Elephas maximus indicus: one gene and its partner. The protein of the gene in region 2 interacts with the protein of the main gene of each other region in a pairwise test. Links are inferred from orthologs where the notes say so. Each region holds a gene or a part of one and is shown on either strand. Other genes may lie near its edges.

Region 1 (8,490 bases), on a different chromosome or scaffold from region 2:
CTGTGTGGATCATAACAAATTACGGATAACGTTGCGAAGAATGGGAATTTCAGAACACTTAATTGTGCTCATGAGGAACCTTTACATAGATCAAGAGGCAGCTGTTCAGACAGAACGAGGGGATACCGATTGGCTTAAAGTCAGGAAAGGTGTGTGTCAGGGTTGTATTCTTTCACCATACCTATTGAATCTGTATGCTGAGCAAATAATCTGAGAAGCTGGACTATATGAAGAAGAACGAGGCATCAGGATTGGAGGAAGCTTCATTAACAACCTGCGTTATGCAGATGACACAACCTTGCTTGCTGAAAGTGAGGAGGACTTGAAGCACTTACTAATGAAGATCAAAGACCACAGCCTTCAGTACGGATTGCACCTCAACATAAAGAAAACAAAAATCCTCACAACTGGACCAATGAGCAATATCATGATAAACGGAGAAAACACTGAAGTTGTCAAGGATTTCATTTTACTTGGATCCACAATCAACAGCCATGGAAGCAGCAGTCAAGAAATCAAAAGATGCATTGCATTGGGTACATCTGCTGCAAAGGACCTCTGTGAAGTGCTGAAGAGCAAAGATGTCATATTGAAGACTAAGGTGCGCCTGACCCAAGCCATGGTGTTTCCAATTGCATTATATGCATGTGAAAGCTGGACAATGAATAAGGAAGACAAAAGAAGAATTAATGTCTTTGAATTGTGGTATTGGTGAAGAATATTGAATATACCATGGACTGCCAAAAGAATGAACAAATCTGTCTTAGAAGAAGTACAACCAGAATGCTCCTTGGAAGCAAGGATGGTGAGACTGCGTCTTACCTACTTTGGACATGTTGTCAGGAGGGATCAGTCCCTGGAGAAGGACATCATGCTTGGCAGCATAGAGGGCCAGCAGAAAAGAGGAAGACCCTCAACGAGGTGGATTGACACAGTGGCTGCAACAATGAGCTCAAGCATAACAATGATTGTGAGGATGGCTCAGGACTGGGCAGTGTTTTGTTCTATTGTGCATAGGACTGCTATGAGTCGGAACCGACTCGACGGCACCTAACAACAACAGTGACTGAGAAGTTAGGGATTGGATCATAGTCTCTGCCAACCCACCTCTTGGCTACCCAACATAAACAGAACCCTGATTCATTCAGGGTGTCAATGTGCCCAGCTTCCCTTGAGATAGGGGGGTCAATGAGGAGTAAGCAGAAGTCATTCACCAGGGCTCAGCTGCGAGTACCGTTCTGGCCCCTGCCACTCTCCTTTTTCCATGGAGTGTGGAACAGTGACCCAGGCCCAGCCAGACATCTTGTTGTCCTAGGATAGAGGCTATGGTCTAAGGATGGTGGGCACCTGGATTCCTGATGGCTTCTGAGAGCTGTGAGATGATTCTGGATTGCCAGCCTCCAGATTTCTTTTACATGAGATCAAGCCCCTCATTTTATTTCACCTGGTGGAGTTGACTCTATTACTAGTAGTGAGAGAAACTCAATTCCTAATTACTGATTGGCAGCTTTCTGCTAGTACTGCACCAAGTGCACAGGACAGAAGTGACTGTAACAGAGAAGAGGGAAGCGCCATACTCTTGGGGGAGCGTGGTTGTAACAATAAACAAGCAGGCAATGAAAGCCACCACAGAATCTTGGAAGGTGGTGAGCAATATCAAGAAAACAGTGCGTGGGTGGATAAAACCACAGGGCTAGGACTGCTATGGTAGTAGGCTTGCCCCAGGTGTCTCTGAGCAGGGAAGTGAATGACCATATGGAGCTGGCCAAAGACCTGGGGGCACAGAGGCCCAGGCAGTGGGAGGGCCCTCAGGTGGGAGCTGGCCTGGGGAGGTCAAGAAACAGCAAGTGCATGGCTGGACTGTGATTTTTTTAAAAAAAGGAATTTGGTGGTGGGAGATGCAGTCAGGGAGGAGCTGGGGTCCACTAAGCTGGGCTCGCAGGTCAGGGGCAGGGGATTCATCCTAGCCTCCCAGAAAGCCATCGGGGCATCTTCAGGAGGAGTGGCATGGTCCGTTTATCTTTAAAAGAGCACTGGTGTCAGGGCAGACTGGGGAGCACCTTATCCTGTGGCCTAAAGTGAGGGCCCAAGACCATCTTAGTTTGGACCAAATGCTTTCAGTGCATATGCCTCAGGCACGGCGTGCATTCTTTAGCCTCCCCACGCCCCCAGCCCCCACGGTCCCTCGAGCCCAGCTTACATGTCCACATCACCAGCCTGACCGCACGAGGCATTCCAGTTGGGGAGTACCCATCTAGGTCAAGTCCTCTAGCTGCACAGAGTAAGAAACTGAGGTCCAGGACGTGAGACACCCAAAATATCAGAAAAGACTCAAGCCCAGGTGTCCTGACTCCCTTAGCGCCATTCTCCAAGGCTGACAGTTTTCCTCCTTTGCTAGAAACAAGGCACTTAGACACTGTTATAGGAGAAAAAAAAACCGCATAGTTATTAAGCTACATCTACCACCTCAAATCTGCTGATATTTCTGATGCATAGCTAGTTCATCCTTTCAGCCTCCAGCGCTGAGGCCCCCTCCCAGGGGACGCCCTGCTCATTGCTCTAAGGGCAGGATAGCTCCCCGGGATGCACTGCTGTTTGCAAGCCCGCGGGCCCTTTCCCTTCCTGTTCCTGGACACGCAGGGGATTTCCATTTTTTAAACACTATAAATTGCACTTCTGGAAGCATATGGAAACCCCGGTGGCGCAGAGGTTAAGAGCCACGGCTGCTCACCAAAAGGTCGGTAGTCCGAATCCACCAGGCTCTCCCTGGAAACCCTATGGGGCAGCTCTACTCTGTCCTTTGGGGTGGTTATAAGTCAGAATCGACTCGACGGAAACGGGTGTATGTGGAAGCACAAATTATTAAATACGTTTTCTCTTTCTTGGATTTCTTTAGCTGAAATATCAATATTTAATATCAGAGAGATTAAAGGTTAGAGGTGGTATTTTTTAGGTTTTGTTACAGATTGCCACAAAACCTTGAGGAAGACTGGTCTGAACCACGGCGGCCTGTTCTACGTGTAGGAAGGACGTAGTCCCTGGGGGTCCGCCCAGGTCTGACAGGGACACCCCATTCCCAAGAAGATCTCGGGCAACCCATGTCGCGGCGCTGCCCCGTCTCCTCATTGGTGACCTGCGGACACTACAGCCCCGACTTCCCAGGGTCGGGGCAGATGATGGGCAGAGAGCCAAGAACCGGAATGTTCCAAATGGTCCACGTCCCGTGCCGCACGCACCACAGGGACCGTGCGTTCAGTCCCCGCGCCCAGCCCCGTCCCCTCCAACCTCCCCCCGGATGCGGGGAGAACTCACCCTACGGAAGCGAACCCGCCGGCCGGGAAGTGAAAATGGGAGCCGCAAGGGGTCAATGCACAGCCTGGACGCACGCTGGCGGGAGCGCCCTAGGCTGCGCGTTCCTGGGGTGGTGCTGCGCAACCCGCCGCCCCGCGCCCTCGCCCTCGCCCTCGCCCCCGCCCCGCGCCCTCGCCCCGCCCCGCGCCCTCGCCCCGCCCCGCGCCCTCGCCCCGCCCCGCCCCACGCCCCGCGCCCCGCCCCGCCCCGCGCCCCGCCCCGCCCCGCCCCGCGCCCTCGCCCGGCTCCGCGCCCTCGACCCGCCCCGAGCCTACAGCCTTGAACGCTGCCCTCCCTCCCTGGCGCCGGGAGCTTTGAACCCTGCCCACCCCGCCCCCAAGCAGAATGTAAGTGTATGGAAACCACTCAGCAATAAAATGGGACGCACAACCTGCATGAATCTCCAGAGAATTATAAGTGGAAAAAAGACACAGGTTATGTACTTGTGTGAGCCCATTGACACAACAAGCTCGAAACGACCAGAGAGAGTATATACAGTTAAAGGCTTAGTCCTTGCCTGGGGTGAGGGAGAGAGGTGAGCACCCCTGTAAAAGGGCAACAACAGGGATCCTTGCAGTGATGGAGCCCTTCTCTGCTTGACTGTGACAACGTCAGTACCCAGGCTATGATATTCTATTGTACTTTTGCAAGTTATCATTGGGGAAAATGGGTGAAGGGTGCACGGAATCTCTATATATTGTTTCCTAGAACTGCATAAAAAATATGAACCTACAATTACTCAAAATAAAAAGGCTTAATTACCAAGAAGAAGGGGAAGGAAAAGAAGAGGGAGGAAGAATAGGACAAGCAGGAAGTGGTTCAAGGTGTAAGCACAGGCTTAAACTATCCCCACTCCTGAAAGGTAACCACAGGGTTAAATTATCCCCCGAGCTCCCCCCATCACAGCCAGGCTCTCTGAGTTCCTGAGAAGGCATTTCCGTGTTACAGCCCGAGGTCGCCTTACTGCTTCTTTGCTCAAGGCTGCTTCACTACTCACCAACTGCCCCCGCCCCCTCCATTCTGACAGGAGCAATAAGCTGCAAAGCTGTGCTTAGATAAACTTCACTCGTCATACATGCACCCCCACTGCACCCCATGGATGTTAATTAGCTCCCGAAATTGCCCGCTTATTCCCAGAAACTTTGTGAATTAAGCATAAATTCCCTATCCTAAACCCTGTAACTGACCTAGAATCCCCAGCTTTGGTGAGCTTGATTTGAATCTTAGTCTCCAAGCTCCTTGCTTGACCGGTGTGCAATAAGGTCCACTTTCTCTTTCTCAAAGGTCTGGGCCTCTCAATTGACTCAATGGGCCGCACTGGGCAGAATCCACCCTCACTGGATTACAAAGGCCAAGGACATCCCTTGAATTCTTGGAAAAGCCCCAGGTTGCAAAGGCATTTGGGGTAATTGTCTCTTTTCCAGCACCCTCTGGCCTGTGCCACGTCTTCTGGAAGCCCACTTGCCCTTGTGGCTTCCCCAAGACCCCTCCTCAAACTGGATGCCTGATGTCTGGTGCTCTACGATGGCCCGATTTCAGCAACAGAAGGAAGATGTTCTCTGTGTCCATCGATGGTGGTGCTGATGAAGTTTGTAGCCCCTATTGGTTGCTGGAGCTCTCCCTTTTAGACTATATGTTACACGTGTGACCTCTCCCTGTCTCAGGGCGCAGTGTCCACATGTCTGTCCGTCTGCTGTTGCTGTTTTCAGAGGTGGGAATGTGGCCTCGCCGGGAGCTGTCCGCAACCCCTGTGCTCCCAGGCTGGGAATGGGCCACCTTGTCTTCTCAACCCAGGAGGTCCTGGGACGGTGGGAAAGGTGCTGAGGGCACTTCTGCCAGAACTAGAATGTCTCCACAGAGATCAAATCCTTGGCTCCTTTCTGGCCAGAATCACTTAAGGGGAGTCCTTGAACCATCTTTGTGTTACAGAAAGTGAGTGAATCATCCTAAGAAACGTAGGTGCAGGCCCTCTGGAATCACTGAACCTCACAAGGTGGGCAGGAAGCCCCCCTGACCAGGACAAGGGGTGTTCAGATCTCGTGTGAAAATCGGCCAGGCCTCTGGGTGGTGTGCGTGCCCTGGAGAGGGCCGGGAAACTGTGGAGTGGCAAGTGCTGGGACCAGCCCTGGAGCCATCCTAGTCAGAGGCATTGGTACAGAGATGCCTTGTCATCCATCCCAAGGCAGGGGAGGAGCTGCTGCAGTCCCTGCTGCCTCTGAGGCCTGGCATCTGCACTCAGGCCAAGCATGACCATGGTGAGCAGCATCTCCATGTGGTGGCAAGCAGGAGGTACAGGTGTGGACAGAGGGGACCCTGGACTGCCTGCGTTCCGTCTTGCCTTTTGCACTGTGTCAGCCCTGTGTCATTATAACCCTGGTTATAATGGACAAAATACAGTAGATGCATGCCTGACATACCATAATGTGTTATATATAAATACATATCATTCCTTTTTTTTTTTTTTTTTGTGGGTGGAAAGCTATTAAATACAATGGAAAAGAACAAGGGTTTCTCAATAAGAATAAAGCAGGAGGCATAACGTGGTATGTTCAAATCTCCTCATGAATCAACCCCACGTGTGAAATGAGAAAGGAAATGGCTCTCTAGAGGAGCAAAACCAGTGAAGTGTTCGTATAAATATATAGAAAGAGATTTTCTTCAAGGAAATGGCTCACACAACTCTAGAGGCTAGCAAGTCCCAAATCTTTGGGTCAGGGAGCCGGCTGGAGGTTTCTCCTGGCTCATACGGTTGCAGGAGCTGACGAACCCAAAATCTGCAGATTAGGCAGCAAGCTGCTGGTTCACAGGGCTGCAGTAGCTTGTGAATCTCAAAATCTGAAGGTCAGATAGGAGGTGCTGGCTCACATTCCTGGAACTCTTGATCAGAGGATGATGAGTAGGATGCAGAGTCCAGAGAGAGCAAGCTTTGCTGGAATATGCATATGTTTTGGATGTAGGCCACACCCACAAGGAGCCCCCCCCATCCAACTGATTGACTGCTCACATCAGATCACAAAGTAGAGGGTATTTATATAATATTTTCCAAACCACTGAGAATCATGGCCTAGCTTTAACCATCACAGGAAGCCTTATGGCAAACTCAGACTAAATTACCTCTAGATGTGTCTATAACCCATGCAACCTCATGGGGAACTTAACATTTTTGAGCATAAAACATGTATCCTAACTACACTCAGGTTATTAATACACAATGGTAACGGCATGCATGGTGGACTAAATAACATTAACCCATGAGACAGAAGAGAGTTTTAGGAGAGATAGTTGCCAGTCTAGGCAATTATGGAACAAGTTAAATTTGTCTTAATTAGGCAGGGCATTCAGAAGGGAAATATTTTTTAGCTAAATTGACCAATTAGGGGGAGTTTTCTTCCAGGAGGAAGACAAAGAATAGGTATCAGTCTAGAAAGATGAGACTTTAGTAAAGTGGATCCGGTGGAATCAACAAACAGTATTGGATAATGCCAGGGCACAGCACTGAGAAGGTGCTTGTATCTTGAACCAGTAGGGCCTCTTGACTTTTTTGTTTTTTAAATTTCTTTATTTTGGTGAAAGTATGCACAGCCAAAGATACACTGTTTCAACAATTTCTACATGTGCAGTTCAGTGACACAACATTCTTTTAAGTTGTGCTAACATTCTCGCTATCTTTTTCCAAATTATTCCCCCACCATTATCTTAAACTTACTGCTCCCTAAGCTTCCCATCCAACCTTTCAAGTTGCCATTGCCAATTTGATCTCATACAGATAATTCTTTAAAAGAGCATAATGTTCAAAGCTGTGCTTTCCTAATTCAGATAAACTATTCTTTCGGTTCAAAGAAGTTTTTAGGGAATAGTTTTGATTTAAGGTTTAAATTTTGAGTATTATCTCAGGGCAATAGTTCTGGGGGTTCAGCCAGCCTCAGTGGCTCCAGAAACTCTGGATTCCATTAAGAATTTGAAAGTCTGCTCCACATTTTCTCCCGTTTTACTCAGGATTCTTCCACAGACTCTTTGATCAAAATATTCCATAATGGTAGCCAGGCACCACCCAGATCTTCTGGTCTCATGTGAAAGGAGGCAGTTGTTTATGGAGGCACCGAGACACACATTCAATCCCCTCCTCTGGTTCCTGACTCTACTTCTTTCTCTGTTGCTTCAGGTGAATGGAGATGAATTGTTGTGCCTTGAACGGCGGCTCGAATAGCAGAGTGTTTTGATGATAGGCTGTCCTTTGACCATGGCAGTGGCCATGTAATCTGGGCCAACCCATTAGATTCTCTCTCAGGAATTTGAATCTTGAGTAGAGGACCAAGGATAAGGAAGGCATTTGGAAGATCCACAGGATCCTGATGCTGAAAGCTATAGAGCTTGCAACAGAGCTTCCTTTGACTCTGTGAACTTCTGATATCCTTCCATTAAATGCCTCCCTTTTGTTAGCTCACATTTGTACAAAGTGTTTTAGTGTGAAACCTACTGCAACCATCACACTTAAGAGTGAAACATTAAATGTATTCCCTTTAAGCCAGGAATAGGACGGATCAAATATCATTGTTAATATTCAGCGTTGTATTAGAGGTCCTAGTCATGTGACATGTCAAGCAAAGACATAAGTGACAAAATATTAGAGAAAAAAAGGAAAGCTGTAATTATTTGAAGATAACATGATTGCCTACCCCCCCAAAAAATCAAAGAACAAATGTAAGATTCTCAGTATCTATCGAGCATTAAAGAGATAGTAAAACACAGGACTAAACTATAAAAACAAGTCTTTTTTCTAAACATTACCCATAACCTGTTAGAAACTGTTCTAAAAATCCTATTTAACTTTCACTTCCAGGAAGGTGGCATAGACATACTTTTCTGTATTTCTCTCACTAAGCACAACTGAAAACATATGATTAGGATGTAAACTATACCACTTTCCAATTACTTATTGTTAGGATCTAAGGAAAGAATTTATTTCAGTCGTAGTGGCGTAACTCTACACCTAGAAGAACACTTGTTATGGTTTTGTTTTTCAGATGATTCTCCTTGTTTTCAATATTAACTGAAAATAATAATTTTGTCTTTCTTTATGTAATTGTATCCCATTTGGTTTTCTTGCTTCATGACATTAACTAGCAGTGTGAGAAAAAT
Region 2 (9,281 bases):
CTAAGACATTAAAAACTCTCCATTGAAGACTGATGTAGCCAAAGTGAAAACTTCAGGGTTCTCAGAAGATTCTAGAATCATCTCCAATGTGTCTTTCCTTAGTGATATGAATTACTTAATGGTACACTGGCTTGGCAAAAACTAAAGGTTTATTCTGTGCCACAGATCTGACCTAACAGTTTCTTCAAAGTCATCTTGAAAATTCTGTAGACTGACTAGACTCACCCAATAAAGAATGGATGATACTCTACAAAACAATTAGCAGAGATAATGAAATGCTCCACATATGGGGTTGGGGTATTGGTGTGGTTGTTAAAATCTTTACACTCAATAAAGAGTATGTATTCTCAAAGTGAAGAATTTTAAATATAAAATGGTTCATTAAGGAAAAACTGTACTAAGAATCTAATGATGATGTGAAATAATTCAGTGATAATTATCAATAGTTGGTACTCTTTGTGTCCTGTGTTAAGGAGGGTGTGGAATAAAGTTAATCATATAGTACAATGTATGATTCATTCTTTGGGGTCACAGTCATCCAGAAAATAAAATTATAGTACCAATAGGTATCATTTTGATACATCACTTATCTTCAAGATTTCAAATGTTCTAAATAGTGGGCATTTTAAGTCATGATTCAGAGAACGGGTTTTTAGATCAAATAATTACCATGTACTATGAACCGAAAATAAGAGGAAGCTACGAAATACCCCCTGAGAATTAACACCCATATTATTATGTGGTTAATATATTTATTTAGTGGCTTTCAGAAAGAGTAAAACTTCATCATGATATTAACCCATATCCTCATGATTTTTTAAAAATCCAAAGCAAACAAAAATACAAGCACCCAAAAATGCTTTATGATCTATATTTTATAAAGAAAACAGGAAAATTAAAAGCTTTAAAAAGTGGAATGTGACTTTAAGAAAATTTCAATGCCTGCCTAAAGCAGTGCTAAAATTCTGAATAAAATGTGACTTCTTTAATTGGATCAGGTTTGCTTTTCTTTGAGAAGTTGTTTCTAATTCTGAAACTGCATATGTGCAGGCACACGTGATGCAGAATGTAAGGGTTGCCATGGTAAGTACACGTCTTTTCTTGGACAGCCAAGTTAAAAAAAATACATAAAGAATGCTCATCTCATAATATGTCATGGAAATTGACTCTGCTTTCCCTGACATTTTAACATATTAGTATGATGTAATGCAGCAAAGGACAGAAATAGCCCACATTTAAAAACTTAAGCCCATTCAGATGACTTATAAAAGATGGAACAACAACAACAACAAAAAGACAGTAACAACAACAAAAAAATCTCCAAGCCAGGTAACTTTAATTACACATTGAGTCTGGATGCAAGTTCTACCTCCACTTAATTGTGAAATAACTAGACCTCATGACATTTCACAGGCCTAGCCAACTCTCCAGGAGTCCAAACACAGGCATCAGGACATGGCTAAACATCATTTTCAACATAGCTTTTAGTCTCAAGACTTCTATTTTTAAGGAAAAATAAAAATCGTTCTTACACCCCTAGTTTCTTATTCTCTCCCGAGTGAGATCAATGGTTTCCAACTGGTAGTGACTATGTTCTGCTCTGCTGTCTTTTGCAAAAACATCTCATGGTGGATCCTGTAGAGTCCGAGGAAGTCAGCTTAAGGACACCTGGATGGAGGCGTGACACTTGGACTGGGGAGGTGTCAGAATTCTGTCGCGAATCACAGCAGGTTCTGAGGCTCTGGAGAACCCACGTGTTCAGGGATTGCAGAACTTTTCTACCGCCTATCCCAAAGGAAACCCCTCATTTTAAGTAGGGGGGTGGCCGGGACTGGGCTTGGGTGGAGGCGGGAGAGATTGGTGGCTTTGAAAGAGAAATAGCAGATTTCAAGTCCTTTACAGGTGCTTTACCTTTACCTGTGCTTTTCTTCCCTCTATTCTCTCCTCCAGCCAACTTTATTATTTATTCCTCTTACAGGAGGAGGACTTGAGCAACCTGGAGGCTGAGGATCTCATAGGCTCAGCCTGGAACAAAGAAAATCGAGTTCCTAATACTGTATCTCTCGGGTTGGAGGGATCACGTGTCCTGCTTTCGCTGGAATGCACTCTTCTCGCCCACGCTATAAAATCTCTATTGTGCTTAGAAATTTTGCCCAGGTTAAAATATGCTCACAAACAAATTGCTTTTCATCCATCAAGAGAGCTACATCTCAGCGTACACAGGTACACATATTTACGTGCTGACCCAGTTACCACTGCAGGTAAATTGGTTGTGTTCAAAGGGTGCTGGGAAAGTAACGGAAAAGAGCAGGTGGAGGATCCCTGTATCTCACCGGTCCCTTCCCCCCCTTTCTGAATCCTTTTGAAGGAGAACTTTGAAATGAACGTGGGAGTCGCAGATGGTTCCTTTCTGAAACCCATTCCCTGGAGTTGTGAAAGTGACCCCTTCCCTTCTCCGCCTTGCGCTGCGCCCTCTCGCCAGCCTGCTCGCTTTGTGAATTGGTGGGGAGGAAAACAGCGAGGGAGGAGATAGGAGAGGGCGGAGGCGGGTCCTTTATTCGGCCCTGATGGCCAAGAAGTAGTGTAATGAAGCAATTTTGTAGACATTTCCGTTATTATGAAGTCACACTGTTTGAAAAGGCATTCTATACAGCTCCCACCCCCATCCTACTTCTTGACTCTACAAACATAAAGACTAGAAACCTCCGCTAGCCAATCTAATTGTCGATAAGCCAGGGTGCCATGATTACCGTAATGTTAAATGTGCCTCCCTCCTTCTTTCCACGTAGGACCGGAAAGACGTCCTGCATGCTTAACAACTCCGAGGTGAGGATGCACGATGCTGAAGGGGGCCCAGCGCTGCTACGGGGAATAGAGCAGGTTCACCAGCTTCGCGGTGCAACACAAAGGAGATGTGTAGGCATGAGTTCTCTGGAGAGGGGGAGGGAGGCATCGTTCTCCTGACTTCCAGAGAAAGCTTTCGCTCCACCGTTCCCCCACTTCTTTCCGTCCACCAGTCTTTCGGGCTCCACCGTCCCCCCTTTCCGAAACCCCACCCTTTCTCTTTGGTCCCCAATAACATAAAAATCTTCTAATTGTGTTTTTCAAACAAATAGACACGAAGGCAGTAATACAACATCTTCCAAGATAAAAAGACAAGTGCGACCAGCCACAAGTGTGTGTGTGTGTGTGTGTGTGTGTGTGTGTGTGTGTGTGTAGAGCGATCGAACAAGCGCTTGATCCCTGAGACACGGCCGGGGGTCGGGGGGGGGGGGGAAGCTACCTGGAGATATCCAAGATAATAAAGAGAAGCAAAGCCTAACCTCAGCTCGACAAACGGTCCAGCACCAGCGTTCAACACTCGTTCTTTACCTTTCGCTTTCTCAGCATGTAACCCTTTAAAGTCTCCTGGCAACCCAGGCCACTCGGTGCTCCCATGCACCCACCCGGCTAGCACCCATTCCAAATGCCCCGAAACCTACCACATCACCGCCACCGCTGCCGGCAACCGCACGAGCAGCTGAAGCGAGCGCGGGAGGCTTTCGCTCTCCCACCCCCGCCCCCGGCCGGCCGCTAGGGTCCCACACCTCACGCGCCCACGGTTGCCGCTGCTGGAGGTGGCAAGGCACCCGCAGCCCCCTCGGCCACCAAGCAAGAGTGTTCTACTCACATCGCAGGCGGGAGAAACTGCCCATGAGGTTCCCGCGAGCGTCACTGGTGCAGCTGTCAAGGGGTTATTCCTTAAAGTGTTCCGGGGTCCGCAGTGGAGAAGGTGCGAGGGTCCTCGGAGGAGGAAGAGAGCGGCGGAGGAGGAGCTGGAGGAAGAGGAGGAGAAAGGGGATTCCAGGCAGGAGCCACGTTAGACCATGATGACAGTGCCCTTCAGGTAGACGGCTGGAGAGCTTCCCGCGGGAAGCAGCCGAGGGGAAGCCCGATGCGCGGGTAGGGGAGGCAAGAGCGCGTCCACTCCCCAGCCTCCGCCAGCCCTGCGCGCCGCGCTGGCGACCGCAGCGGTAGCGGCGGCTGCGGCGGCCGCGGCGGCGGCGGTGGCGGAGGCGCAGCTCCCTCCCCACCCCCAGAAGGCTCCACAGACAATAAATCCTGGGCGGAGAAGAGACGAAATGGAAAAGGGAATCTTGCACCCAACTCCGTAACCCCCTTTGTCGGCTGCGGCACCTCTACCGGACAAGGATCCCCGGGGGCCGGGACGCAGCGGGCAGCTCAGAGGGTTCGTGCACTCTCGCCGCTGCAGGCGGCGGCGGTGGCCGGAGTGGGAGTCTGCAGGTACCGCCGGTCACAACCTGCTGTCCGGGGCTGGGTGCCCGTGGCTTTACGCCCGGAGTTCGCCCAGAGAGGGAGCCTCCTCGGTGCAGAGGCTAGGCGCACAGGTGCCGGGATTGGCAGGCGAGGAGGCGCCGCTTGTGGCTCTCCGCTGTGTCTCCCCGCCCCCTCTTCTTTCCCACCCCCTTTTCCGACGACACCAGCTGCAGCTGCTTCAAAGTGTAAAAAATGTCAAGGAGATTTTCCGACAACAAAAGGGGGGTCCACGGCCACAACCCTCAGGCCGTTTTTGCGATTTTGGCCTATCCCTCTGACCTCTACTCTTGCTCCCCTAAATTGTGACAAGAAAATCCCAATCCGGCCGAGAATTGAAATGCTCGCCTTCTCCTGGCTCCGACACAGGCTGTTTCTTGAGAGTGGAACGCCAGGCCGAGCTCTCTGGGCTCCTCGTGTCTCCCGCGGTGCGCGAGGCAGGTGGCACGAGGCACGGCGCCCGGCAGCGCTCGGCCGCCGGCTCCTCCAGCTCCCGGACGGGCCGGGGACGCTGGGACAGCGCAGAGTCCTGCAGCGCAGGCGACTCGCCGGCAGAAGCGGCTCCGGGCTTCTACGCCTCCCTGCGCGCCCCTCCACCGGCACCAGTTTGGTGACGCTGCGCTCGTGGCTCCTCAGGCTGCTGCTTCTGCTTTCTCAGCAAAGAGGCGGCCAGGAGCGCCTCCTCGGGGTTTCCTCCCCCGCCCGCCTTTCCTGCTGCAGGTTGTTGGCTACCAAGGAGAAAAGTCAGTGGTTGCAGGTCGGGTCGCTTCCCGTCAGACGTGGCAGCGACCCATATGCCTGCTCTAGGTCCCCTTCTCCTCATTCTGAGGCGGGGTTGCTACCCTGGCTTTGTGCAAGAAAAGAAGGGATTTCTCAACTTTCCTTCATCCACCGCCCCTCCTCCAGCCAGCAACACGCTCTGTCTCACACTCACACACACTCGTTTTTATCTCACATAAAGACACACAGAGACACTTCCTTCTCGTACACTTCTCTTTTAAACTCTCATAAGCAGCAGATTAAAAAAAAAAATACATTGATGAAGCTAGAATTATGAAATTAGTACAATATTTAGACGTTTCCTTTATTTTTTAAACACATCAGATGAATACTTATTTTTAAAATGTATTTATGATTTACGAATTATCCTGAAACCTTTTTTTTTTTTTTTTGGTGGGGGAATGGTATAGGCTATACGGTTTTTGTTTCTTCATTAAGGAAAGGAATTTTCCCTTTTAGTTCTCTAAATTGCCAAAAGAGTCAGACCGTGGCCTTCAATTGCCACTTCTCAGTGGATTTAAGGTAACGGTTTACTGAAACAAGAATTTTTTTTTAATTGCTATTGTTCTTAGATTTGAAATGCTAACAGCTTCAAGGTCAAAAATCATCTTTTCGGGCTGCTAGGGATGGTCTAGGCAAATCTGCTGCAAAAGACCTATTTAAAGACTTGGAAAACCAAGATGTCACTAAGGATGTCACTTTGAGGACTAAGGTGCGCCTGACCTAAGCCATCATATTTTCAATCACCTTCTATGCATACGAAAGCTGGACAATGAATAAAGAAGGCCAAAGAAGAAATGACCCATTTGAATTATGAATTTGGTGAAGAATATTGAATATACCATGGACTGTCAGAAGAACAAACAAATCTGTCTTGGAGGAAGCACAGCCAGAAAGCTCCTTGGAAGCAAGGATAGTGAAACTTCTCATGTCATCATGCTTGGTAAGGTGGAAGGTCAGCAAAAAACAAACAAAAAAGGCCCTCGCCAAGATGGACTGACACAGTGGCTGCAACAATGGGCTCAAACGTAGCAAATATTGTGAGGATGGTGTAGGACCAGACAGTGTTTGTTCTGTTGTACTTAGGGTTGCTGAATTGGAACTGACTTGATAGGACCTAACAACAACAGGGATGGTCTACGAAGAGACTTTGAGACTGGCACCTAATCTGCAGAGTACCAAGGAGGAAGGTTCTTTCTCACTTTATCTGGGCCATGAAGATGGGCTGTTTTTTCGAGATAACTCCCCAGTATTTCATACAATTTACATATAGACAGGGAAAGGAGTGAGAGGATGTTTTCATAAGTCACATCATTTTTAAAAAGTGTTATGAAACTCATCACAGAGAAAGGGTTCTGAAATGGCAGGGAGATTAGAAAAATTTTTTAAAAAATGTTAAAAGGACAAAATTTGTAATTGACCTCAGCTGACCTCTATTTTTCACTCTTAGGTTTTTTTTTTTTTAATTAATTGTGCGTTAGGTGAAACTTTACAGAGCAAATTAGCTTCTCATTAAACAGTTAATACACAAACTGTTATGTAAAATTGGTTGCTAGCCCCTTGATAATGTCAATACTCTCCCCTTCTCCACCCAGGGTTCCCTGTTTCCATTCCTCCAGTTTTCCTGCCCCTTCCTGCCTTCTCGTCTTTGCTTTTTGGCTGGTGTGTCCATTAGTCTCCTACACATGATTGTAATAGGAAACACATTCCTCATGTGTGTTATTGTTGGCCCTATAAACCTGTCTAATCTTTGGCTGAACAGTGAACCTCTAGAGTGACCAGTACTGAGTTAAAAGGGTGTCCAGGGACCTTACTCTCAGGTTCCTGCAGTCTCTATCAAACTAGCTAGCCTGGTCTTTGTGTGTGTGTGTGTGTGCGTGAATTGGAATGTTGTTTTACATTTTTTCCCGCTCTGGGACCCTCTGTAGTGATCTCTGCCAGAGCAGTAAGTGGTGGTAACTGGCCAGGCACCATCTGAGCTCAGTCTGGTGGAGTTGTCCATTAGTCCTTTGGACCAAACTTTCACTTGTGTCTTTGGTTTTCTTCATTCTCCTTTGCTCCAGCCAGGGTAGGAACAGTAGATGTATCTCAGAAGGCCACTCGCAAGCTTTGAAGATCCCAGAACCTACTCATCAAAGTAGGATGTAGAACATTTTCTTTATGGACTGTTATACCAATTGACCTAGATGTTCCCTAGGAACACGGTCCCCAGTCCTCAGGCCAGTAGCTCTGCCCCTCATAGCATTTAGATGTCTCTGTGAAAATTATAACTTTGCCCTGGTCAAATTGTGCTGGCTTCCCCAGTATTGTGTACTGTTTTATCCTTCATCAAAGTTACCACTTATCTACTATCTATTTAAGTGCTACGGCTGCGAACCAAAGGGTTGTCAGATCCACCAGGCGCTCCTTGGAAACCCTCTGGGGCAGTTCTACTCTGTCCTATAGGGTCGCTATGAGTCGGGATCGACTCAGCGGCACTGGCACTGGCTACTATCTAGTTAGTGTTTTTCCTTCCCCATTCTACCCTTCCCTTATAACCATCAAAGATTGTTTCTTTCTGTGTAGAAACATTTTCATATGTTTGTATAATAGTGGTCTTACAGTATTTTTCCTTTTGTGCTTGACTTATTTCACTCAGCATAACACCCTCATGTTTATCCATGTTGTGAGATGCTTCACAGATTCATCATTGTTCTTTATTGTTGCATAGTATTCCACGTGTGTATGTACCATAGTTTGTTCATCCATTCATCTGTTGATAGGCATTTAGGTTGTTTCCATCTTTTTGTTGTTGTGAATAATGTTGCAATGAACATGAATGTGCATATGTCTATTTTTGCGATGCCTCTTATTTCTCTAGAATGTACTCCTAGGAGTAAGATTGCTGGTTTGTTTGGTATTTCTATTTCTAGCTTTTAAGGGAGTGCCACATTGTTTTCCAAAAAGGTTGTACCATTTTGCATTCCCACCAGCAGTGCATAGGAGTTCCAATCTGCTCACTTTTCCAACATTTGTTATTTTTTGTATTTTTGATTCATGCCAGTAATGTCTGAGTGAGATGGTATCTCATTGTAGCTTTTAGCTGCATTTTTCTAATGCCTAGTGATCATAAGCATTTCCTCACGTGTCTGTTAGCCACCTGAGTATCTTCTTTGGTGAAGTGCCTTGTCATATCCTTTGCCCATTTTTATAGGTGTTGAATTTTCCTGTAGATTTTAGAGATTAGACCTTTGTCAGATATGTGATAACTAAAAATTTTTTCCCGGTCAGTGGATTCTGCTTTACTCTTTTGGAAGTCTTTCGATGAGTGTAATTGTTTTAATTTTTAGAAGATTCCAGTTATCTAGTGTCATGGATTGAATTATGTCCCCCCAAAAATGTGTGTATCAACTTGGTTATGCCATGATTCCCAGTATTGTGTGGTTGTCCTCCATTTTGTGATTGTAATTTTATGTTGACAGGATTGTAACACCACCCTAACTCAGGTCACTGCTCTGATCCAAGGTAAGGAAAGTTTCCCTGGGGTGCGGCCTGCATCACATTTTAGGTCTTAAGAGATAAAAGGAAAGGGAAGCAAGCAGAGAGTTGGGGACCTCATGCCACCAAGAAAGCAGCGCCAATAGCAGAGCTCGTCCTTTGGACCCAACGTCCCTGCGTGAAGAAGGAGCTCCTAGTCCGGGGGAACATTGATGAGAAGGCCAACAGAGGGAGAACTTTCCCCTGGAGCTGATGCCCTGAATTTGGACTTTTAGCCTACTTTACTGTGAAGAAATAAATTTCTCTTTGTTAAAACCATCTACTTGTATTTCTGATATAGCAGCACTAGATAGCTAAGACATTTGAATTAGTTTTTGTGTATGGTGTGAAGTATGGGTCCTGTTTCTTTTTTTTGCGGATGGACATCCAGTTTTGCTGGTACCATTTGTTTAAAAGACTATCTTTTCCCCGTTAATGGATTTTTTGTAGTTCTCTATTCGTGTATAGGAATCCAACTGATTTTTGTATGTTTATCTTGTATACGGCTACTCTGCTGAATCTATCAGTTCCAGTAGTTAAAGATTTTTTTTTGTTTGTTTTTTATGAATAATATATCATCCATGAATAGGGATAGTTCTACTTCTTCCTTACCGATTTAGATACACTTTATTTATTTATTTTTTTCTTGCTTTAGTGCTCTAGCACATTGT

Evidence for each region.
Region 1: the proteins of LRRC7 (region 2) and NQO2 interact in a two-hybrid assay, tested with the Homo sapiens proteins (2 studies listed by BioGRID). The two-hybrid records come from large-scale screens. The link is inferred for Elephas maximus indicus from reciprocal best matches to the Homo sapiens genes LRRC7 and NQO2.

Annotation. Positions count from the first base shown.
Region 1 is NC_064819.1:43,491,261-43,499,750, reverse strand, and holds the start of NQO2 (ribosyldihydronicotinamide dehydrogenase [quinone]), read right to left. Parts: upstream 3,457-8,490; 5' UTR 3,313-3,456; intron 2,417-3,312; 5' UTR 2,201-2,416; intron 1-2,200. UniProt on the Homo sapiens protein: The enzyme apparently serves as a quinone reductase in connection with conjugation reactions of hydroquinones involved in detoxification pathways as well as in biosynthetic processes such as the vitamin K-dependent gamma-carboxylation of glutamate residues in prothrombin synthesis.
Region 2 is NC_064821.1:115,849,203-115,858,483, reverse strand, and holds the start of LRRC7 (leucine-rich repeat-containing protein 7), read right to left. Parts: upstream 4,030-9,281; 5' UTR 3,673-4,029; coding exon 3,671-3,672; intron 1-3,670.